Linked DNA regions of Rhinolophus ferrumequinum. The protein of the gene in region 1 purifies or fractionates together with the protein of each later gene. This does not show direct contact. Links are inferred from orthologs where the notes say so. Each region holds a gene or a part of one and is shown on either strand. Other genes may lie near its edges.

Evidence for each region.
Region 2: the proteins of KIAA1522 (region 1) and WASF1 purify together in Homo sapiens (affinity purification with mass spectrometry; 3 studies listed by BioGRID and IntAct, with this or other methods). This does not show direct contact. The link is inferred for Rhinolophus ferrumequinum from reciprocal best matches to the Homo sapiens genes NHSL3 and WASF1.
Region 3: the proteins of KIAA1522 (region 1) and ABI1 purify together in Homo sapiens (affinity purification with mass spectrometry; 3 studies listed by BioGRID and IntAct, with this or other methods). This does not show direct contact. The link is inferred for Rhinolophus ferrumequinum from reciprocal best matches to the Homo sapiens genes NHSL3 and ABI1.

The regions. Positions count from the first base shown.
Region 1 is NC_046292.1:22,406,465-22,414,631, forward strand, and holds the start of KIAA1522 (uncharacterized protein KIAA1522 homolog), read left to right. Parts: upstream 1-5,133; 5' UTR 5,134-5,267; coding exon 5,268-5,502; intron 5,503-8,167. UniProt on the Homo sapiens protein: Able to directly activate the TNF-NFkappaB signaling pathway.
Region 2 is NC_046286.1:62,590,830-62,598,946, reverse strand, and holds the start of WASF1 (actin-binding protein WASF1), read left to right. Parts: upstream 1-4,679; 5' UTR 4,680-4,698; exon of another isoform or gene 4,699-5,165; intron 5,166-5,866; exon of another isoform or gene 5,867-6,007; intron 6,008-8,117. Other genes in the region: CDC40 (pre-mRNA-processing factor 17), read right to left, coding at 3,972-4,160.
Region 3 is NW_022680355.1:11,066,373-11,074,456, reverse strand, and holds the start of ABI1 (abl interactor 1), read left to right. Parts: upstream 1-4,663; 5' UTR 4,664-4,876; coding exon 4,877-4,993; intron 4,994-8,084. UniProt on the Homo sapiens protein: May act in negative regulation of cell growth and transformation by interacting with nonreceptor tyrosine kinases ABL1 and/or ABL2. May play a role in regulation of EGF-induced Erk pathway activation. Involved in cytoskeletal reorganization and EGFR signaling.

The DNA.
Region 1 (8,167 bases):
GTGTAGGCCCCTGTGTGGATGGCAGGGGTAGAGGGTCTCTGAGAGTCCACATGCAGCTGTTTCCCTCTGTTTCATTCATGTGTAGGGAGCCCTGCCCACACATCTTCACCCCTCCTCCAGCTTCCAGAAGCCCTGAGTGTGGGTGTTTCCCTCTTAGCCTGCCCTTGGGCACAGGGCCAGACTTGCTATCCAGGACTGGTGAAGTGGGTGTCTGTAAACACGTGGAGGGCCCCACCCAGCAGCCCCTACACCAAGCCTTATCAGCTGGCAGGCCAGGCTGGTCATTCTGTTTTGGGGGTGAGAACTGAACTCCTCTCCTTGGAGATCAGTGAGCCCTGTGGATCTAAGGGTCAGGAAATCCCTGCTCTCTCCACCTAGGTCAGTGTCCATCTGGCTCAGCTTTTTGTGCTTGTCAGATGCAGCCAGACAGTTGGGAAACAAAGCATGTGTCCATGGCAACCCGCCTCTGCCTTCAAACTTCAGCATTTCAGTGGTTTTTGTGGCCCCTTCTTCAGGCCCAGCGCTGGGATGGGATAGATGGTGAGGGTGAGTAATGAAGCTTCAGCATATGTGTGTTGCACCCCACCCCCAACACCCCGGCACGCTCAAATACCTCCACACACACCACTTCCTAGGGGAAATCCTCTGATGTTCAGATGGGGAAACTGGTGCCCAGATAGTGCAAGTGTCTTGCCCAAGGACACCCAGCAAGTTAATGGCAGGACTGCGAAGAGAACCAGGTCAGGCTAACTTTTGACAAGCCATTAAGCCGAGTTGGCTGCAGAACTCATTTCTGCACAGACCTCAAAATAAAGCTTCTCCTGATATATATCCACCAAATTGTAAAGACTCTTACCATTTGCCCCTGCTTGTCAATGGGGCACAGTATTTTCTAATTATCGTGTAAAACTGCCAAGGAAGTAAATTGAATGTTGGCTCTTAGTTAAAACCATAACCATCACCTATAACTCAGGGTTTCAAATTTGGAGTCCTTCAAAATGTCATCATTGTTCTCGCTGATTTACTTTGTGGTGAGTAAAGTTTACGTTTTGAGTTATAAAATAAATTTGTACTTATAAAAACATTGCTTTTATCTATTTTACCTCTCAGATAAAATTTGGGTAGGTTTTGTTTGAGGGGAAAAACCAAAAGTTCCAATGCTAAAAGGAAAACTTTGAAAACCACTTGTCAACACTGGGCACAGCTAGGAAAGTGACACTCTGATCACAGAATAGTTGGTCAATCTGGAAGCCTGGGGCACAGAACTGGTCTCAGGAGATAATTGCTGAAAGAAGGAAGGGACTCAGAAGTCATTCCACATTGGAGACGGGGCAGTGGCAACAGCTACTTTTCCTTTCTCTCTGTCTCTGCCTGCTCTCACCTCTTCCTCCTCCTCTCTCTCATCCCTTCCCTTCCTCAGCCTCCTAAGAGCTGGCACCAATTCAGAACCGGGAGCCCTCGAGACTCCAAAGATTCCAGGCACACACCACTAACACCTTGGGTTATCTCACCTCTCAACCCAGCAGGGAAAATGGGCGGAATTAGGTTTGGGACCTGATTCTAAGAGCTGCTGGGAGGATCAAAGAAGACCTCGGCAGGGAGGTTGTTTGATGTGTTAACATGCTGCCACAGATGCCAGGAGCCACACTGTAGTGGGCACAGGAATGCACACTGGGAATGGGACCTGTGGGGTTCTCCCCTCACCCCCACCCCCAGGCTGGGGAGGAGCCAAGAGGGAGGGCATCCGATGCAAGGAGCCCCTTTCTATGTTCTCCTCCCACTAAAAAGAATCAAAGGGTGGATTCTTAGATGTCATTCTTAAACAGGAACCCCTTTGAGAATCTGGTTAAAGCTGCAGACCCTTTCCCCAGATCAACACATGCAAGGGGTTTCAAAGTTAAGCAGAATATTTCTGGAGGTGTCTGGAGGCCTAACTGTGGCCCCAGGATAAATACTCCCTTTTTCTAGGGTCTTAACTGCCAACTCTTGAAAGTAGCTTGGGTGGAGTGGGGGAGGGTGCCTGGCACAACGCAGGTGCTCAATTAGGACACACACACACACACACACACACACACACACACACACACACAAACACACAAGAACACAAATCTGTTTTACATTTCACCTCTGCCCAGAGGTAACTGTGTGACTGTTGGCAACTCACTCCACCTCTCCTTAGCCTTTTTTGTCCATGGAATAGGAATATATTAATCTTTCAACATCTTCAACTTTGCAAAACTGCCCTGCCCTCTACTAAAATTCCAACTCCCTCCAATCGATCTAATAAACACTGAGGGAAGCCACAGGTGCTCCCACTCCTGGCTGTGTGCTATGCAGGCTCTTTCCCTTCCTGGTGTCCCTGTAAAATGAGGGAGGTTCAGCCACACCTTGGCCTAGCTGCCCAGGCTGGAGTCTGTGCGGAGGAGGCCAGGCCCAGCAGAGGACAAAGCTGCTTGGAGCCTGTGGGAGGCAGGTCTCCCAAGGTGGAGGTAGGGTTGGGGGGTTGAATGGGTGTGAGAGCAACATGGGGTGGTCCTGGGCTTTCCAAAGACAGAAAGGGCAAACTAGAGGGTCCGGAGGCTGCTGTCCCAAGCCTGGTTGTTGCTGGTTCTTCCCTGGGGACAGGCTGGCACTTCCTGCCTAGTCAGGTGACAGCCTGGCTCCAGGATGGACTTTGGGCCATGCTGACAGGGTCTGCTGGGAAGTTAGTTTCCTTAGCTGCCCATAGAGCCTGCAAAGAACTATAGCTAAGCTGAGCAATCGTAAATCCAGAGAGCAGGGTTGCAGACTAGCCCTTCCTAGGCTAGTCCTCTTTGGGTGTCTTAGAAGCATGTCCACCCACTAGGCTAGGGGACAAGAGGGAAAGCTTGGCCTGAGGGTGGTCCAGGTTGGAGACGGGAGGTGAAAACATCTGGGTGTTGGAGTTAGGAACAATGAAGGGAATAGAACCCTGACCTCTTCCCACTCTTTACCTTCCTCTCCTCTCCTCCAAATCATGGGACCCAATCTGTGGGTTGACCCCTAGGGATTCTGGTTTGAGGGGAGCCTTTGCTGAAGAATTATGTGAGCCATTGGCAGGGCCAACTTCATGGGGGTAGTCACACAATGTCCTGCTCTCAGAAGGGCCCGGTGCTTGGTTGAATGCTCTGCTGTTTTCCTCTTGACATTTTTAATACCTTTTGAACAAAAGGCCCTCCATTTTCATTTTGCACTGGGCCTTGCAAACTATGTAGCTGTCCTGGCCAATGGGAAGAAGGGGGTAATGAAAGAGTTGGTGGGGGGCAAGACTGACTAGTATTCCTCTCCTGACCACTCCTTCCAAAAGCCAGAGTATGTTTGCCTTCCTCTCTCCTCCCTACCCAATGCAACCAGACTATCCAGCAGTCCAAGGCCCTGGGCACTGCTTTCTCTCCAAGTCTCAGCCCTGCCTGTGACACTTTTCCTTTGACACTCACTAACTGAGGGAGCAGCAGTGCCCTTAAGGATATAGTGCTGGGCTGGGCAGGGAGCACCCTGAGGACAGGGTCCAGTGTGATCCCTGAGCATGACAGTGCTTGATCCAGAATGGGTGCTTTAGGATTGTGGGCCAGACCTGAATAAATGGCAGTTAGATGGGAAACTGAGGCCCAGCAAGGACAGCGATCTGCCCTAGGCCTCCCTGGTGGGAAGCATGTCAGTGATGGCCCAGGTTTGCCACAGCTCAGCCCCTGGGAACACTCAGGGGCTAAGGCTGGTTAGGGAGGTCATACTCTGCACTCTAATCATCCTACAATATCTACACTATGCTGGGGTTGACTAGTCTGAGTGCCCCAGACAAATGGGTTTGTGCCTTCGTGGAGACCAGGACCAGGGGGGAGCTATGTGACCAGGGTCAGGTTGGGTGACAAAGACAAATTCTAACTGGTGGGGTGATCACAGTGCCTCTCTGGGGACCCAGGACGAGAGTCTGCTGAACCCAAGCTGGCCCCTAGGGCAATTTCTAGCCTCTGGGGACCCGGCGAAGACAAGACTGAGATTGCTGGTCTTGGCTCCTCTGCTGCTGACCAGCAATCACTGTCCCCCTCCTCGCCTCAGTTTTCCTCCTGTACTGTGGAGGTAATACTCTCTTCCCTGCTTCCCTTCCTCGCTTGTTATGGGATCAGATGATATAAAAGTGCTTGGTCAGCTATAATAAAGAGCAAGAAGCATGGAGGAAATGAGCACAGGATTTTCACGATTCCTGAAGGCTTTCTTCTCTACTAGCTTCCCCAGTCGCTTCTCATATACAGAGGCTATCAAAGCACCTTATGAGACAGGAGTTTAGCAAGCCCCAGTTCAGCCCTGATCAGTATTGATCATCTCTGGGAAATCTAGACCCAGGCAGGGTGCCTTGGGACCTCACAGCCTAGCCCAAGGATAAACTGAGGCAGGGCTCTCCTCATCCTAGTCACCAAAAGGTGAAACGGGAACCCAGGAGGCCTGGGTCCCAGGTTCCAACTTAGGATTGTTGGAAGCTGGGGGAAGGTGTGGTGAGGGAGGGCAAAGCAGCGAAGAAGGGGCGACTTCCCAATCGCCAGATGGGAGAGGAAAGCCCACTGTCCGTCACAGGTCTTAGGCGTGGCTAAAGCCTGTCATTAGAGCAAAACCTCCAGTACTCCCCGGGTCCTGGAAAGAATTTTCAGAATCCCTTATTCCAGGTAAAGAATTCCAGAATCCTCCATCTCTTCTCAGACCAAACTCAGGATACCAAGCTCTCTTATGGTCCTGCCCTAGCATTTCTCTTCTCCTTCCCTGAGCGCCCTCCTCCTCCAACCACTGCCAGTGCCTCCCTCTAGCGAACCGAACACCCTTTAGTGGCCCCGCCGGGACAGAACCTCAGTACCGGCCCCCTCGGACCCGCCCCGCGACCCCGCCCTCTCGGTCCCGGGCAATCCAAGCCGCCGCGGGGGGCTCTGGGGTCTCTCGGCACCGGACCTCGCCCTCCCCCAGCCCCGAAGCGCCCAGGCCGTGGCGGCGGGCCCCGGGGTGGCGGGGAGGGGCAGCAGGCATCGCCGCTCCCGCCCCGCGGCCGCTCCCTCCTCGGGCTCCTTCCCTCCGGGCGGCCCCCGCGCCCCGCCCGCCGCCGGTCGGCCCCTCCCGCCGCCCGCTCGCTCCTCGCTCGCTCGTTCGGCCTCCGCCGCCCAAACTTTTCTCCGGCCGCGTCTCCCGCGGTGGCCGCCCGCCCGCTCAGCGCATGGGCGCCCCGTAGCAAGGGGCCTGACACCGCCGCCAGGTCCGCCCGCCGCGCCATGGCGGCCCGCGAGCCCCCCGCCGCACCTGCGGCGGACGAGCCGGGGGGCCCCGGGGGTCCCCCGCGCAGGAAGAAGTCCCGCTCCGGCGCGTCCGGCTTCCGTCGCGCTTTCAACTGGCTGCGGGGCAAGCGGCGCAAGAAGAAGGCAGCGGGGGCGGAAGGCGCCGAATCGGCCGCCCCCCGGGCCAAGAAGGCGGATGACAAGGCCAGGAAAACCAAGAGCAAAGGCCGAGGTAAGGCGCCCGGCACCTGGGCTGCGCGCTGGGCGGCGCCAGGGTGCGGCCAGGGTGGCTCCGCTGGGGGTCCGCGGCTGTTGGAGGGGGGTGAGTCCCCCTAGGCGCTAGTGCCGGGGCAGCGAAGAACCCAGGGCTCAGCCCGAGCTACCCCAGTCTGCGCCGCCCCCCAGCATTTCCTAGACTCATCCCTGCCCCGTTCTAGGGGAGGAGACCCCCGGCTCCGGCAGGGATCCCCTGGCTTATGCAGGAAGTACTGGTAGTCTGGCTCTTGGGACGGTGAGGCAATCTCCCATCCCCCAGGCTCACCCAGGTTTTGCCCTCTGCTGAGTCAGGGGGTCAGAGATTGATTCTGGCCTGGGACCAAAGGGAGAGGCAAGTGGCCTTGCGTCTCTGGTGGGGGTCCCTCTGGGTTTAGAAGGTCAACTGCACTCAAAAAGGAGTTCCAGTAGGCTAGGTGGCCCCGGGTTTCCAGCCCCACAAAGAACCCAGCATGGAGCAGAGCATGCTTTAGGTTCTCAACAGTGTTAGCTTTTCCCACCTGGCCCCCCTCACCACTCACCTGGGCCAAACCGCAAACATCCACCTTCTGGGGCGGTGAGCTCACGGAGGTGAACCAACTGCTCTGCTCCTCCCCTTCACTCCACCCCCCAGTCCTGTTAGAAACATGCCAGTGTTGTATGTGTGCTTACAGATGGGGGAAACTGAGGCCCAAGTTAACGGAGAGGCTGGACCTGGGCTGGGTATTTAAAATACTACAGCTAATTCCCTACCTCTGGGCTTTCTTTGGCCTGATGGATGGGCAGCCTGAGGTGAGGCTGACTTGGCCCATACGTGCTGGGGTCACTTTTCTTTTGGCCACTTGCTTGGTTCTTCTCTCATTTCCCCCTCTGTTTCTGTCTCCTGTTTGAGGGTGGAGGGCATGAGTTTCTGCAAGAGGGTGGGGCTCCCTTGGGGCTTGCCATGCTCCGAAGTCTACCTTTACTATGTTTCTGCTGCCCATCTGGAGGTGAGGAAATGGCAGTCTGTGTGGCCCATCCCATTCTGCCAGAGTTTACCCTCCCAGTGTCCTTTAACCACCTCCTCTGGAGGAGAATTAAAGGAACACTTTAGGTATCAGGAAGACGGTGAAAAGCCTGTGTGATTGCATCCGGCCTGATCTTCCTTTTGGATAAGGGCCCTGCTCCCCTGTGGCAAAGCCACAAATAGAAGTCAGGGTTCTGGGGCTGGGATGGCTGGGCTAAGCCCTGAGGGAGAGTTTGGATGAGGGGTGTTTCCAAAGGCTCTGCAGTCCCACAGGACCTGGGGTCTGACCCACTACTGCCTCACTGGGATTCATTGTAAAGTCGTCCCTATCTCACTCAAGAGGGCCTGGGTCAGAGTTGCAGTAGGAGGAATTGTGGTCATACTGTCAAGATTGGAGATAGGAGGCAGTGGTATACCCCAGGGCAGTGGACCCTTTCCTCCTGGGAGACCAGTCTAGAGGCAGTGGTTGGAAAAGCTGACCTGTAGGTCCCTGCTCCAACCGCCTGGGTTAGAGGTCATTGGGTCAGGCCTCCCCCTGCTTTGTGTTTTGGTATCAGGTAGCACTGGGCTTTTCTGGGCAGCAGGTTGCACTGATTTGAGCCTACGCAGGAAACACCTTCCTTGCCCCTGGCTGTTGTTTCCACAGGTCTAGGGGTGGCCCCAGGTACGCCTGGAGGAAGTCCTGCTCCCTTTTGCTCCAACCTCCTATTATTCCAATTGTTTCTTTGTCACCTGCCTGGCTCTACTTCTTTTCTGTTTATTAAGAGGAATAAATCTGATCTCTCTAATCTCCACTGGCACTGCTGGTCAGGAAGGGGAAGCCCAAAGAGGGCTTAACTCTTTCTGGGGAAAATGTTCAAATGAAGATTGGGGGAGATGGGGAGGAGGGATACACAGAAAGTTCCTGGGATGTCAAGGGCCTTTGCTGGGCCATTATCTCCCCCATCCCAATCTCTGAACCAAAGACCCAGAGATGTAGGTCATGGCTCCCCTAATCTGAGTCCCCTACTATAAGATGGGAAAGCTGAGTTTGGAATAGAATTTTGAACACCTGTTTTCCGGGACCCCCCTGCTCCTGTCACTGTCCTGCACAGACTTAGAAGGAAAAGAGAAGAAATCTGACATTTATTGATTGTTCTGAATATGCCAGGAGCTCTGTATCCATTATCTCATTTGAGCCCATTTGCAGATGAAAAAATGGAGGCTCGGGGACAGTGAGTGATTAATTTGCCCCAAATGGGATTTGAACGCAAATCATCTGCCTCCCAAACTGGTACAGTTGTTATGACTCTCCCAAGGACACAGACCAGTGGGTAAGGCTTAAAGAGCTCATCCAACCCATTCTACAGATGGGAAAAGGTCCAGAAAGAAGTGAGGGAACTTGATAGAGTGGGAAGAGGTTCAGAGTCAAGCAAATAAGTGTTCAACTCCTGTCTCAGCTGCGAGCAAACCATGACATTGAGCAAACAATTTCCCTGTGGCCTCACTGATTCCATTACTGTCTCAGGAAAGAGAGGGGACCTTCTCACGGGAGAGATCCTCTGGCTGGACATGGCCTTGATGGGTCTGTGACCTTTCTGTCTCTCCAAGATTCTCACAAGAGAAGATGTGAAAATTATATGAAAGTGAAGTCACCATA
Region 2 (8,117 bases), on another chromosome or scaffold:
CAATTAGGCACGCAATTGAAATTACCGCAAAATTACAAAGTTTTAATTATCCATATAAATTAAAGTGCAGTAAGTGAAGAGCACCATATGGGTCAAATAAGTTTTAAAAGTTTATCTTCTGTTGATTCAAAGAAATTTGAGAACAAAACTAAATATTTACTTTCTAGTCCTTTTCACATTTCTTACTGTTGTACAAATAAGTAAACAGATGTGAAAGCACCTTATAAACTATAAAGCAGAACACAAATATTAATCATTATTATAAACTAGTTATCATTTACGGTACATTTTAATGGGTTGTGGAAGGAAGGAAGGAAAGAAGGAAGAGAGGAAGGGAGGGACAGAAGAGGGAAAGAGGATGGAGGGAAGAAGGGAGGAAAAAGAGATGTGACAGACTATATGTGGCCAGCACAGCTTAAAATATTTACTATCTGGTCTGTACCGAAGTTTGCCAATCCCTACCCTAGTATATGGTCAGTTAAAAAAAAAAATGTTTTATTAGTGCTTGAAAAAAATATTATGCATTGAGTATTATCTTTTTTATACCCTTTAGTTTGCTAATTTTGTTGTTTAGATTTTCTGTGTCAGTATTGGTATGTTTTGCTTTTTTAAAAATCAATTATTGAGAGATATACATTAAAATCTCCCACTGTGATTGTAGATTTGTCAACTTCTCCTTGTAGTTCTATCAATTTTTGCTTAAATATTTTGAACTTACATTAGGTTCATACGAATTTAAAATTGCTATATACCTCTTTGTGAATTAAACCTTGTATTTGAGGAAATGATTAAAAACATTGCACGAGCTGCCAAAATTCTTGTTATTAGTCACAATACAATTAGTCAAATACAGATGAATGTATCTGCATGCTTTACACACCTCCCTTAGTCACTTTTCTATCATTACATTTACTATGTGTAAGTTTTTTTTTGCATATAAGGAGGAATTGGTTCACAAACTAGCAATGATCAATGTCCGTTACTCTATTATCATAGAGCCTAGATCACTGAGAGGGTCTAGCCCCAGCTCTGCTTCCAATGGACCTCTGGGACCTAAGGTAACCTCTCCTAGATTTTCTTGAAGTGATTGAACTAAGTGAGTTCTAGAGACGTCCCCTCACCCCTACCCAATCAATATACATCAATTCTCACTGTACATGCTTTTCTGAAGATCATCTTTTTTACCTACTCTTTCACTCATTTTCTCACCAAATATATTTCCCTTAATCTTCTGTAATAGGCATTGGAGACATGAAAGAGAGCAGATGCAACAATCTCTGGTTCCCAGGGCCTCACAACAGTCCAGGGAAAAGAAAAAGGTTAACAAATTACAGCAATGTGGTAAGTGCTATAATTGAGGTATAAAAAGGTGCTAAGGTAAACAGAGGAGGAAACGTGCATGAGACTGAAGAACAGCAGAGTTTGGTTGGGGAGGCGGAGAAGGAAGGCACGAAGCAAGCAATTTCCAGGCAGAGAGATAAGTTTGGGCAAAATCTTAAGAAAAAAGAAAATAAGGCTTTTCAGCCTTTGCAGAGATTTCAGCGTGGGAGAACGGCAAGCATCATATGTTACACAAGGAACTGAGAAATTACCCAAAAGGCAACATGGTGTCTTTGGGCAGGGAAGTGATATGATAATATTGGATTTTAGAAAGATCACTCTGAGTGCACTGTGAAGGAAAGAGTGGGCTATGGAACTGGGGGACAAGAGCAGGTAGAAAGACTAGTTAGAAGGTTATCATCATCGTCCCGAAGAGAAATGATAAGAATCTGAACTAAAAGGTGACAGCAGAAGAGCAAAGAGATTTGATTAACATCATGGCACCATAATGGGCAGGACCCACTACCCAAAAGTAGCGGTGTTGAGAGAAAGTAAAGTCAAGAATGACTCCTGGGAGAAGTAAGGAAGATATGAAGCCTGTGTCAGTGAAAATGAAGAGGAAGGAATTGATTTGAGAGAAATGAATGAAGCAGAAATGTTAGAACCAGATGAATGACTAGCTTCAGGGGCTGAGGAAGAAGAAAGAGAAAAGGAAGACCCCTCTATTCTTGGCTTAGACTAATGGATGGGATCATTAATCAAAATGGGAAAAACAGGTGAAGTAGATTTTGAGAAAAAGAAAATGCATTAATTTTTCAGCACATTGGAATGGAGGTGCCTGAGAGCCATTCTGAGAGAGAAATTTAATCGTTTGTGCAGCTAGCAAGGAGTTTACAATTGGAAATAATGACAGTAATACTTTACATGCTTTATGACGTCTTATGACTCCAAGAGTGTTCCCAAGAAAACTAGGTTGCTTTGAGTTAAGGAAAACACGTAGTGAAGCGGGAGAGCTCCAAAAAGCTGAGCTGTGAAAGGAATGAAGACTCCGGACGTTGCTGAAGGGGTTTAAGTTTGGGGGAGTTTGTTTTGTTATAAAAATAGGAGGATTCTAAGCATTCTTACCAGCTGTCCATTAGTAAAAACGTGAAATTTACAAGTAGCTCATTAAACAGGGGTAAAAGACTTAAGTTATTAACACTAGACTTGGGAACATCTTAAATACACAGGAATTTTTGCACACTGCCTCCACTCACTACATCTTGAGCTTCTGATCACCCCCATTAGGTTCTACGGGGCCTACACTATCAGTTGGTGGGTGCTCTCCTTAGGCTCTAGACACTAATCTTTCCTCAGTTCTTCAAACACAGGCAACTGCTATCTGAAGGGTTGCTGTCTCCTTTGTTTGGAAACTCATGCCTTCGTTTGCACACGGCTGGCTTCTCGCTTTTTCAAAGCTGCTTTTTCAGAGAGGACTTCCCTGACCAACTTATCGAAGTCATACTCCCACCTTATTCTCTATCACAGTACTCTATTTGTTTCCTTCACAGTACTCAATCCAATTTGTAACCACTTTATTTGCTCACATTTCACTGGCTGCCTCTTCCACTAGAATGTATGTATCATGATGGCAAAGATGTCTGGCTTGTTGGTTTCTATGTCTTCAGACCTTAGAACAGTTCCTGGTAAATAACATGTGTTCAAAGAAATATTTGTTAAATCAACTATATAACCCAATTTCTCCCTCTATCACCTTTCTCAGTTGGGATCATGCAGCATGCTGGTTCTTAAATCCAAGGGCTTTTCTCACTGTGGACATACCAGGGGTGCCAAAAAAATGTATACAAGTGGACACTTTGGTCAACGTTGCTCAAGCAGTACCTAGCTAGTAATCAGAAGCGTCTGGATGCTGATGGTAACCACTCTGAGCACCTGTTGTAATTGCAAAAGTCAAACGTGACTTGTATTCATCTTTTGTTATTGGTATGTATTATTACAGTTTTAACAGTTTTTTCCTTTCTTAAAGTGTGTATACATTTTTTTAGTACCCTTGGTATATAATCAAAAGAGCTAACATGCATTGCACTTTTAGTAGATACCAGGCTCTATGCTATAAGCTTTATTTGCATTTCACTTCATTTTCACAATAATCCTCTTATATAGATAGGTGCTTTTAAAAAATCTCCATTGTACAGGTGAGGAAACAGAGGAGGTTGTATAACTTGGCCAAGTTCACATAAGTGGTGGAGCTGGGATCAAGATCTAGTTCTGACTTCAAAAACAAAACAAAGCCCAGCCACCACTCACTTCAAGTGAGGGCGCATACTCTAGTTTGGGAAATCCTGAGTTAGCTTTTCTTATGTTGTGAGAGTACACACGCTCTATCCAGGCCACATCCTAATCCACAAATTCAAATTTCACTCCCTATTCCCACTTGGTTTCTGATGGCGGGAGCGGGGAGCAGTGGAGGGCTGTCCTGAACTTCCAGCCCCCGGCTTCTCCCAAGGAAGATGCATGTGGGAAGAAGAGATCCAAGAGTTAGTGACGTATCTCTCAGCACTGAGGAAGAGATAACCAGGAGCCTAAAAGTGACTGTCAGATTTTGGAGCAGAAGCCAATTCCCGAACCGCATCAGAGGCAACAGCGCTTACCTTAACTGCCACCTCCGGAGCCGAGTCCACCGCCACTGCCAGAGACGGTTTGGCGGAAGGCGATTTAGTCAAGTGCATGAGGGAGTCGGCCGCTGGCAGCGGACACCGTCCGCTCTCACTGTCCGAGTCCGATTCGGACCCTGAACCCGAACCATAGGAAGCAGCCAGAGCCGCAATCGCAGCCGACATGACGGCAACAGAACTTCGGCGGAGACCAGGCCCCGGCGGAAGAAGAAGCGGCTCCCAGGTCCTGACAGATTGCCATGGCACACATTATTTACTTCCTTTGCTACGATAATTTATGACATTTTAAATAAATTAATAATGTTATAATAAGTACAACATAACTGAGAATTTGGAAGCATTTCTCTAAGGACATAGAGAGAATTATAATAGTTTATAACTTTCAGGACCTTCTGACTAAATTAAAGACTACGAGTTCCTATGTACCTTGCGGCCTCGAGGTCCTACACTCCCGGCGAGCAGCGCGACGGAAAGTGGGAGAGGCACAATGGGAAATGTAGTTTGGAGCAAGGGGGCGGGGCGGGGCGGGCAGGCATCTCTTTGACCCCGCCCCTGAATTGATGGTTCATTCAATTGGCTACCATCTTCCCTCATTCCCTGGCTTAGCACAGTTCTCTCTGTCCCCCTCCCCCAAACTGAGGATTGGGCTATACCATAAAACCTCAGGAAAGGGGGGAAGATTGATATTCATACCCGCTGATGAGTAAGTGGACGGAGGCTGAGTTTTCCACCACCGCTGAACCGAGGCACTGGGGGCTGAAGAGGATAGCGAGAATCTTAAGTGGGAAGACCCTGACTGGGGGGGTTATAGCTCCTGGTGGGAAGGATGGGAGGTTAGTTGGCGAGTCTAGCGGTCCCCCCTGCTTCAGGCGTGGGTCCCCGCGCCCAGTTGTGGAGAGGAGCGCGCGGGGAGGGGGCGGGTGGGGGGCGGCGGCGGCGGCTCGCGGTGTTGTTCGCTCGCGCGTCGAGCATACTGTGGGTCCGGCGACCGGCGGGCGCCGCAGGCGGCGTTCCCCGTGGCCCCATCCCTCGGCCACTGCTCGGAGCGGGTTCCACCCGGGAGCTTACTCTGTTGGAGGCTCTAGGTGGAGTCCCGGGAGCTGAGGGGGACCGGCGGCTGCCGCCGAAGCATGAAAAAGGGATAAGGCAAGAGCCCCCCAAGGTTTCACGGTGAGCGCGAATCTCTCAGGAATTGTTTTTTGGGGGGAGAGGGTGCTGGGGAGGAACTCTTTCTCACTGGCCAGAATGGAGAGTGGTGGTGTGGTGCTCTAGCCCGGCAAAGGTTACGGGGATGGGCGCGCCTCCCCCGCGATGGCCCCCACCCCCATTCGCGGGTTCCAGAGCTCCCGCCGCCCACCCGCCCGCCGGGCTGCGTGCCGAGGGCGACAGCGGCCGGCGGGCGCGCAGGGGTCTCGGTTGCAGGGACCGCCTGAGGCTGCTCTAGGTGGGGAGACTGCAGGGCTCACCTGCGGTGCCACCGCCTGAGCGCCCGTGCCCTGCACCCATGGTGCACCCCCGTGTCTTCTCGCTCCCGGGGAGGCTGCAGCACGGGGTGGCGGAGAAGCCCCTTCTCGCGCTACGTGCCGGGCTCTGTAAAGCAAGCTTATGCGTTTGCGTGTTTGCGCCGCGCTTCTGTGCCTAAACACATAACGGTAAAGCGAGTACCGGGAACCCTTTCTTCGCCTGAAGAGAAAGCGAAGCGGGGCGGTCGCCTCTGATGCCTGTTAATGGGGGGGTGCCTCGGGCAGAGTTAGGGAGCCGCTCCCTGGGCTTCAGTGTCGGTCGGACTCGCCCATTGTGCCACCCAGATAATTATTCAACTATGCAGCATCCACTGCACCTTTCCCATTTTTCTTTTCCCCTGGCTACAGCATGCCCCCTAGCTTCGGTACTCTGACGCCTTCTCTTGCACTTGCGGATGAGGAACTGGAGTAGTGATGAGAAGAAAGCACCCTGACCTGAACATTCACAACCTGCTCTATAGCCGATTAATTAATCCCCAGCTAGACTAGGTACATTAAAACGACTTGGTCTAATGCTGTCCTTTTCTGAATAAGGCGTGTCTTCGATTATATTTTAAGTTTTTTCTTGGGTGTTGGATTCACGTATTAGCTAAGTCTTATTTCTGTCCAGTAATTTATGTAGTTGATTTATTGGTTATTCAACCCGTCTAATGTTCTTAAATTTAATTTGTATGGTAGGTAACTTTCATTTTTCTAACGTTGATAGCGTTATATCATAATTACAAATGCAGTTTCAGTCTTTGAACTCTCAGGAACAGCTTTTCTCATGCTCTAAGTTTGTTAGGAAAAGTATTTTTATTTAGGTCGACTATTTGAATAAAGTACATGATATAAAAATTTTCAAGTTTTGAATAAGAAAAGTTTTGTGTTGATTTTCAGTAACAATATTTGATTGCTAATCATAGCCTTCAGTTGAATGAAAGGAAGCATTTAATATTTAAGATGGGGTTTAACTACTATAATGTGCATTCGCTAATTTATCTAAATTTTATTTTTTATTCAGTTTTCTTTGCAATATCATGTATTTAATTATTTGTTACAGATTTTATTTTTATCATTTTTCTAACTTCTGTCTACAGGATGGGTATTTTTGCATGATCCAAATGAAAGATGAAATATTTTTTGAAAATGGAAGAAACAACTGTTGGTTACTTGCTCTTATGTTAAAAACTTTACATCTCATTATTTTAAAATAAATGATTCACTACCAAATATAAGTGTTTTCTTTTTGTTTTTGTAATTCTCCCTTTCCAGCTCTTCTTGCTTAAGCTTGTTGCCATAACCCTCTTGATAAAACCGAATTGCACATAGGCATTGCAGAGGCAGTTGTTTTAAGGTACAGTAATTGTTTTATGGCACTTGGAAGTGGCGCACATACAGTATAATTTGATGGTGTAAGATCAGTTGCTTGCTTAGAAAATGACCTTGCAATTTACAAAATGGACACCTTTGTGCCTTGGTTTCCTTATATGTAAGTGGAGATAAAAAATACCCATTTATTCGATAAGTAGCATGTGTAAATTCAGTAAAGATGTTTGCATAATGCTTTTAAAGAAAATTGGAATGTTTTAGCTGATGAATGATGACAAATATTTCGGTGTAAAACAAAATGAAAAAATGTCATTGGGATTTTCCGTGACATGTTAGAATGGCTGATTTATCAACATTGGATTTTGCTTTGGAAAGGTATGGCCTTAAATTGAAGATTGTTTCCCATCCATTAAGGGTTTTTAATAATTGCAAATTCAGTAGGTTTTATAGTTAATATGTACTTACAAATGTACGTGTAGTTAACGTTGATGAAAAAAGTTATATGACGTAATAAGCAAGTAGAATATTGAATTAAGTTTGCGAAAAATAAAATCTCCAGAAAATATTAAGGCCTTTTTCACTGAAAAACTTGTAGCTGACACAACCCAAAATACATAGTTGTGCTCATTTGTAGGTATGACATGGTACTACTTTATTTTTCAGGTTTGTAAATAACCATATATTCAGAGACAATGTCTGAATATTGTGTAATACTATACTTATACATTTTGCTTTATTTTCATAATACTCAGGTCTATCATTTCCAAGTACTGATTTTCATTATCACAGCTTTTGATTTCTTTATTGAAGGATTAACTCAGTTAATTTTCATAGCAAAAACTTAAAATATTAATATTAGAACTTTTACCAAAAACAGTGCTTTTGGTTACTTTGTGGGGACAGTTCATATAGATAAACTATTCAAAATCTTTAAAATTACTATTGGATGGTTCCTTTTGAGAATTAATTTGGTTACATTTTAAATGTTTTCTTAAATGACCAACCAAAATTGAACTGTCATTGTTACTTGGGTAAATACAGTTAACTCAAGATTTTTCTAAGCTATTTAGGGACAGAGACTGACTTAATGTTTACTGTCATAAATCTAAGGATGTTAGCATAGTGTTTAGCAAATAGTAGAGGCTTGTTATTTTGTTGTTGTTGGACAAATAAAATGAATGAGTAAAAAGTATCCATTCATTCTATCCATTCATTCGAGTAGAAATTTAAAAAAAGATTGATCAAACATGAATTTTAATTCATGAAACATTTAGCTTTATCTCAAGAG
Region 3 (8,084 bases), on another chromosome or scaffold:
CTTCTAATCTATGGTTTGCCTTTTCATTTTTTAATGATGTCTTTGAGGAACGGATGTTTTAAATTTTGATGAAATCCAATTTATCATCTTTTTATTTCATATTTCATGTTTTAATGTACTTTTTAGTTTTTGCTTAACCCAAGTGCACTAAGATTTTCTGTTAAGTTCTATTATAGAAATTTTATAGTTTTATCTCGTTCATTTAGGTCTATGACCCATTTCAATTAGGCAAGGCCTTTTGGATCTCAAATTAAAATATCTTCTAGAAAATAGTTTGAAACCCACATCACTGCACAAATAAAGAACATGAACTGATGCACACAATTTGTTTCTACCCCCTTCCTCCCAACTGAAGGAGATACAGATAGAATTCATATTTATTATTCATCCTAGTAACTCCTGGACATCTGAAAATTGTTTAGTTTTCATTATTGTAATTGTATTATGTCCTTGTTTTCATCTCTAATATTGGTTACTTGTGCTTTTGTTAATTTTATTGTTCAAATATTTTATATCAACTTTTTGCTTGCTTCTTTGGTCTCTGGTGGACATATGTTAAAATTTTCCATGTATAAAAAATACAAATAAAGATAATAAAAAAATCTTCCATTTATGATCGTTGATATGTCAGTTTTTTCTTGTAAAGGTTTTGCTTTATATATTGATTGGCTGTGATGTTGGCTCATAAGAAGTTATGCTTACATCTTCTTGATGAGTTGGTCTTTTTATTATTATCTAATGTCCTCTTTATGCTTTGTAATGTTTTTTGGCCTTGATGTGATTATCTTGACATTATTATTGCTATAATAGTGTTGACCATAAACAAAAGACAGCCAGATATTTCTCCAGCAAAATGAGTTTATTTGGGAACAACAAAGAATTGCAATTTGGTACATGTGGTGTGATGGTGAACCACATGCAAGTCCAGAGAAACAAAGGAGAGAAAACTCTTTTATAGAGAAGAGGAAGTTGGGAAAACGATTATAAACAGAATTCTTCCTGTTCTGCTCCGCAATCCACTTAGGATGTGGCCTCCCAACTTCATTTTAAATTAGGTTTCTGTTCATTCATTTTTACAAGTTTCCTTTAGGTTAATATTTGCATGGTAAATATGTTGTTGTCCCTTTATTTTGATTAGGCTTTGAAATGACATTTAGCTGGGTTTAAATTCTAGGTTTAGTCATTTTCCTTCAGCGGTCTCAGGATATAACTTCCTCATGTTTTGTATCTATTATTGTTGAATAAGAGCTTACTAATTGCAATTCTTTTGTAGAAAAATCTGTTCTCTCTGGTAGTTTTTAAGATTTTTTATTCTATCCTTGACATTCTAATAACCAGTTATTTTATTAATTCAATTACGACTTACTTTTGATGTTTAAACTTTGCATTTAGATGTTTTTGTCTTTTACACTAAAGATTCACTGAGTCACATCAATTTCATTTCAGGATTTTATAGACTTTGTTCTACTGTTTTTTTGACATCTATTGCAAAAGAAAAGGTCACCTTGATACTTTTTCTGTTGACGGTAACCTGTTTTTTTCTACAGAAGATTCCTTTATTCTTTTATCTTTAAAGTTCAATAAATTTGCCAAGAATTTTTCTTGGCAAATTTTGTAAGTTTTGTTGTTGATTTTGTCTGTTGATTTTCCCTTTTTGTAGATGAGATTTTAAAAAAATACTATTTTTTCTTTCTTCATTTTTAAACTGAGGTATAACATACAGTAAATTATGTAAAAACGCACTGCTTTTAAGTGTACGGTTTGATGATTTTTTTTTATTTACATATGTACCCTTATAACCACTAATCAGATAAAGACATAGAATATTCTTAGTGCCCCAGATTTCCTTATATTGCTTCCCAATTTATCCTTTACAATGGTTGATTACTATTCTTAATTTTTGTCATCATTGATTACTTTAACCTTTTTTTGAACTTCATAGACATGAAATCATATGGTATGTACTCTTTTTATGTCTGCCTAATTTCACTTAATAAAGCAACTTTCATCCATGAAAGTGCATCTAGCAATGGATTCATCTATGTTGTTGCATGTATCAGTAGTTTGTTCCTTTTACTGCTGCATAGTATTCTATAATATGAATATACCACTATTTATTTATTTTTTCTTTTGTTGATAGGTCTTTGGGTTGTTTCCATTTTTTGGCTCCTATGAATAAAGATGCTATGAACATTCTTGTACATATCCTTTCATGCACATATTACTTATTTTTCTTGAATAAATACATAGGAGTGAATTGCTGGGCCTTAAGGAGGTGGATATTCAGTTTTAATAGGTAGTGCCAAAGCAAATAGTCACTTCCAAAGTGATTGTACCCTTTTATACTTGTATACATATACATAACAACATATATATTTTTATGTATATTTTATGACACACACATATATATATTGGGTTGGTGCAAAAGTAATTGCTGTTTAAAAAGTTAAAAATAAATGCAAAAACTGCAATTACTTTTGCACCAACCTAATATATATCCGTGTGTGTATGTTTATGTGGGTGCTAGATGTAATACATTCTTACCAACACTAGGTATCGCTGGTATTTTTTGGGGAGGTGGGTGGGTGGGTATCTGGCTTTTTTCATTTAGCAAAATGCATTTGAGATTCATTCATGACTTTGTATGAATATATAATTTATTATATTTAATTGCTGAAGAGTACTCGATTGTTTGGATGTACCAGTTTGTTTATCCAGTAACTGGCTGACGGACATTTGAGTTGTTCCCAGCTTTTAGTGATTATGAACAAATTTACTGTAAACATTCACATCATGATATTTCTGTGAACGTAAGTTTTCATTTATCTTAGATAATACCTAGCAGTAGGATTGCTAGATTATAAATTAAGTATGCTTGGCTTTATAAGAAACTACTAAACTCTTTTCCAGAGTGGCTATAGCAGTTTGTAGCCAGTAATGTTTGAGAGTCCAGTTACTCCACATTTCACTAGCACTTGCAATTGTCAGTGTCGTGCGGGGCGTCAGGCGGGGTTTCTGGTCCCACTCCCCACATAAGAACGCAGGACATGGTGAAGCCAAAAAGGAACACCCACGGAGCCATAGGTAGGGGAGTCACATCTCTATACTCTTGCTGGCGGCTGGGTTGGAGACACAGGAAACAGGAGCCACACAATTCTCAACCCTCACTGCGCCGCTTGCAGACTCAGCCACCATCTTCTTGCTAGCTCCCCCTTTTTTCTTTTTGCTACTAGCCTAGCCACGGCAGTTATATTCATGGCTAATGGCTCACTGGTTACAGCTGACAGCCAACTAGCCACAGCTGCTGGCCATTTGATCACAGTTGATGGCCATTTACTACCTGAGCCAGCACCTTTCTATGTGAGGCTGAGAGCCTGGAAACTGCTTTTTGGGGCTCTGTCCCCACAGTCAGGTTTTTAAAATTTTAGCCCTTGTAATGGGTGTGTAGTGTAATCTTTTAAATTTTATACTACATCCTGGTAGAGTGTGGCGATTATGGTTTTATTTTGTACTTCCTTGATGACTAATGGGTTGAGATCCTTTTCATATATTTATTGGCCTTTTGTGAAGTGCAGTTGTCTTTTTGTCCAATTTTTTTTATGGGATTGTCTCTTTATTGACTTGGAGTTTTTTTTATTATTTTATTTTGGATATGAGTCCTTTGTCAAATGTATATGTTGTACCTTTCTTTTCCCTTTTTTAATAGTCTTTTAATGAGTGTTTTAATGATGGCTATAGTAGACTGACTAATGGCCCCACAAAAATGTCCATGTCACAATCTCTATACACTGTGAGTATATTACCTTACGTGGCAAAAGGGACTTTGCAGATGTATAATAATCCAGTTAAGGATCTTGAGATGGGAAATTATCCCGGATTATCCAGGTGAAATCTATGTAGGCACAGGGGTCTTATAAGAGGGAGGGATGATGGGTCAGAGTCAGAGAGAGATTTGAATGTACTCTGCTGCTGACTTGAAGATGGAAGAAGTGGCCATGAACTAAGGAATGCATATGGTCTCTAGAAACTGAAAAAAATCAAGGAACGATTCTCTACAGTCTCTAGAAGGAACAAAGCCCTATTGACACCTTAATTTTAGACAACTGACTTCTGATGTCCAGATATGTAAGATAATAAATTAGTTTTGTTTTATTACTAAATTTGTTATAGCAGCGATAAGAAAAATGTCTTCATTTTATTAAAAAACAACTTACCAATTTTATTAGTACTTAACTGTATCCTAGTTAAGAAATTTTTGCCTAACCCAAGCTTGTGAAATTACTGTTTTCTTGCAGAAACTTTATTATTTTACCTTTTATATTTGGACCTATGATATATCCTGAACAAATTTTGGAGCATGGTGTGAGATAGATTCAATGTTCAAAGTTCTGCCAAGTTTCACAGGCTTCTCCGGAAAACAGTTTCATTCCGGGGAATCACACTCTGGCGCCATCTCCCGGGGATGTCAGGAAACTCCGGATTTAAACCACCACCAAAGGTCGACGTTCTTAAATTACACTCCCTGGGGTTTTTTTTCCGAGGTTCCCTGGACGCATGCGTTTTTGATGGGAAGCCTGGCCTGTGAAAAACTACAATTCCCAGAAGGCCATGCCAAAAGGGGGCGGAAATCTTGTGGTGGGGGAGGGGGAGGGAAAAGCATGAAGACTCGCGAGAGAAGGAGGTTGAGGCAGCAGTGCGAAGTGGGTGGAGGTGGGTGGAGAGAGTGAGGAGGAAGAAGGGGAGGTGCTGTCCCACAATACCAGGCGGGAGGGCGGGTAGGCGGTTTGTATCCGGGCTGTGAGGTGCTCGGAACCTCCGCGGACCTTGCTGTTTCTGTCTCTTTAACGCGAGAGGAAGCGATGCGGAGGGGTGGAAAATGGCAGAGCTGCAAATGTTACTAGAGGAGGAGATCCCGTCTGGCAAGAGGGCGCTGATAGAGAGTTACCAGAACCTGACCCGGGTGGCGGACTACTGTGAAAACAACTACATACAGGTGAGGAAGCGCGGGCGCGCGGGCGGGCGCTGCCTGGCCGGGCCGAGGACCCGCCGCCGGCCGCCCGAGTGACCAGCCTACTGGGCGGGGTGGGGAACAGCCCTAACCTCCGCGGCCGCCTCAAGCCCCAGCCCCAATCCCCAGCTGGGGACAGAGCAAGTGGCCGGGCTCCGGGAGTCGGGCTGCGATACAGGAAGTGGCTGTGGTGGTTGAAACCGATAGAAGGGGAGAGAGAAAATGGGCGAGGGAGCAGGGAACCCGCCGCGGCCCGGAGCCCCCCTACCGTCCGCCTCCCTGCGGGCTCAGCTCCCCGAGTCGCGCTGCCCCCTCGCAGCCTGCCGGTCGCGAGGTTTCTGCCTGAGACCCAGCTGCCACCCGGCCGCCTCTCCGCCAGGCGAGGGGTCTACGACCGAGACAGAGGGGAGAGGAAAGGGCAGGGACGAGGCACAGGGAGGAGCAGCAGAAGCGAGAGGAAAAGCGGGGTGTGTGTATCGGGGGAGGGTAGGGTGGGGGAGATTATGTCAGTTCAATCCAGAGGGTGTGTCTTTTATTTATTTATTTAAAAAAATTTGTCATGAGTCACATTACACAGACCTCCCCGAGGAGAGGAGGAAGCGGGTGGGGAGTGAGGGAAGACGTCTAAGAGAAGTTAATCTCAAAATTCCTTTGATTGAAGGTTTGTAAATTTGCCTGCCTGTCCGTTTTCAAGTCGGGTTTCTTCCCTCTCATCATTTTCACTTCCACCTCACCATAACGTATGTCTAGAGGAGGTTCCAGCTGTCGTTATTATAAAACACAAATTAATCTTAACTACTTGGAAAAATGTCTTAAATACTGTCGTCCCCAAAAGTTTTTGAACTGTTGGTTTCATAAAGTAACTTAAAATAGAATGGTGTAATCGCCCGATGCTTATTTTTTGAAGGTTTCTCTTACCAATATAAGTGAATGTATAGATTCTAAATCCAAATCGGTTACAGAACATACTTAGTTTTAGAACCATAACGTAAAATATTACTGTAAATTTATTAGAAAATTCTTGGGGCCTTAACTATGACAGATGCTTGTTTGTTTTTATTTTAATGATTGAAAGTGAATTATGGTGTGATAGTTTGGTTTGTAGGTCTTTAACTGCATAAACCAACAGTTTACAATAGAACCAAATAAAGTACCAGAATCCTTTCTATCAATATAAGGGCACCAACAATTCACTATTTAGTGGCAAAACATGGCCAAAACGTGCTTTGAAAGGTTAGGGTTATTGCAATTCAGAACTAAAGTATTTATAGAAATTCCTCCCATGTGATTGTCATTTTAAAGAACCAATAGTTTCTGTGTTGGCAAATGCTTTTCCTCCTTATTTTTAGAAGGAGATACTGTTTTCAGAATATTCTGAATATTTCTCAGTTTCCATATTAGTAACATTATATCTTCAGTAGCACTAGTAGGAATTTATCTCAAACTTTTTCAAGCTTTTACTTTAGGAATTCTGATAAACTTGTTGAATGCCTGCCACGTCTACTAAATTTCTTGTTTTTGCAAACGTTATATTTAGCCTTTAAGAAATAGTCTAAAACCAAGTAGAAATGTGGATATAGTTTTCAATTAGAAAAGTTACCTTGTAGTTTATTGATATTAATACATACAGCTTTTATTCAATTTAACATAAATATTAAAATTGAGGTGAATCTCAATTTACTGAAGATTTTAAGGACTTTGAAAGTCAAAGGGAGAGCACAGGAAGTTAAATTGCACCTATTCCAGAAGTCATTTCTTTGTAGAAGTCAGCAGATAGTACTTCACAAAGGGTGGCTTCTTTTTGTTTTGCATGTTGGGAAATCTGACAAATACATGATGTGGTAACTGCTAAGTGTTGGCAAATGCAAACGTGTTTTAACCTGTCTGGTGACTGTTTTTCAGGTAATTGTCTGCTGTTGTAAGGCTTTTTTTTTTTTTTTCCTCCCTGACCCCTTTCCTTTTCACCTCCTGCCACCATCATGTAACTTGGAAGCATTTTTAAACTTCTTGGTAATATCCCTAGTTAAGATAAGTCATTTTATTCTCATGTAGTCTCTTACTTTTAAACACGTTAGTACAGTGGTGCAAAGAACCACTATCAGTGGCCCAAGATTTTTTTTTTTTTTTGGTGGTCCTAAATTGACACAAGTGCGGTATTCTGATCTTACTGGGGAAAAAGATGTTTATCTTAGTAGCCTTTAAACTTTGGGGGGCATGATGCAGGCCATTAGCTAGCTGCCTTCCTGAGGCTCAGACAAGGTCAGGCTCAGACAGGCTTAGAAGATGCTGAAGACTTTGTAGGAGAAGTGGTAGCTGACTTTGTGATGTGCTGTGCTGCTAACTTTGGTGCTGTGAATAGGGAACAAAAGTACTAGTCGTACCCATTTGGGTGTCTTTTGAGATCTTTCTGTATCCTTTCTGTGATCCTGATTGGGTTATAATGAACAGCCTACGTAAATGTACCTCCTCTCAGGGAAAGTATGTGGTGACTTGCGTTTTGAGATTTTTTTTTTTTACCCAAGATGAGTTAAGTTACTGCCTGGGTGATTTTTATCCTGAGAATTCAGTTTTAATTTTGTTGTTTTCCTACATTTTGGAAGTATAGTCCAATTAGGTTAAGGTGTTTAGTTGACAGGTTCTTTTGGCTCTAGTGCAATTTGGGTCTTGTTGACTTTTAAGTGTTGTATTGTAATAACAGAACTTCTCAAAGGAGTACATTATCTTAAAAAGGACAGAGTTTTTGAAATTGTTACAGGGAAATAATATTCAAAATAGAAATTTTTTTTTATATAAACATTTATATAGACATGAAGAAAAATCTTTGCCTTTTTCCATCTTTTGATTCCTATGACCAGTTTGAATTTTTCTAGTAGATTACGTCAAGGACAGTCAACTCCTCAACTTGAACATACTTTATCTGGCCAGTTCTCTTTGCTCTTCTTTAGGGTCCATAATGCCTTTAGCATGATATTTGTGGAATAGGAAGCGGAGTTAAGTTGGAAGTAGTAGAAACTGCTTAAGAAAGGTTTCTCAGTATGCAGATTGCTAGGTCTTCCATGCAGCTAACCTTTTAAAG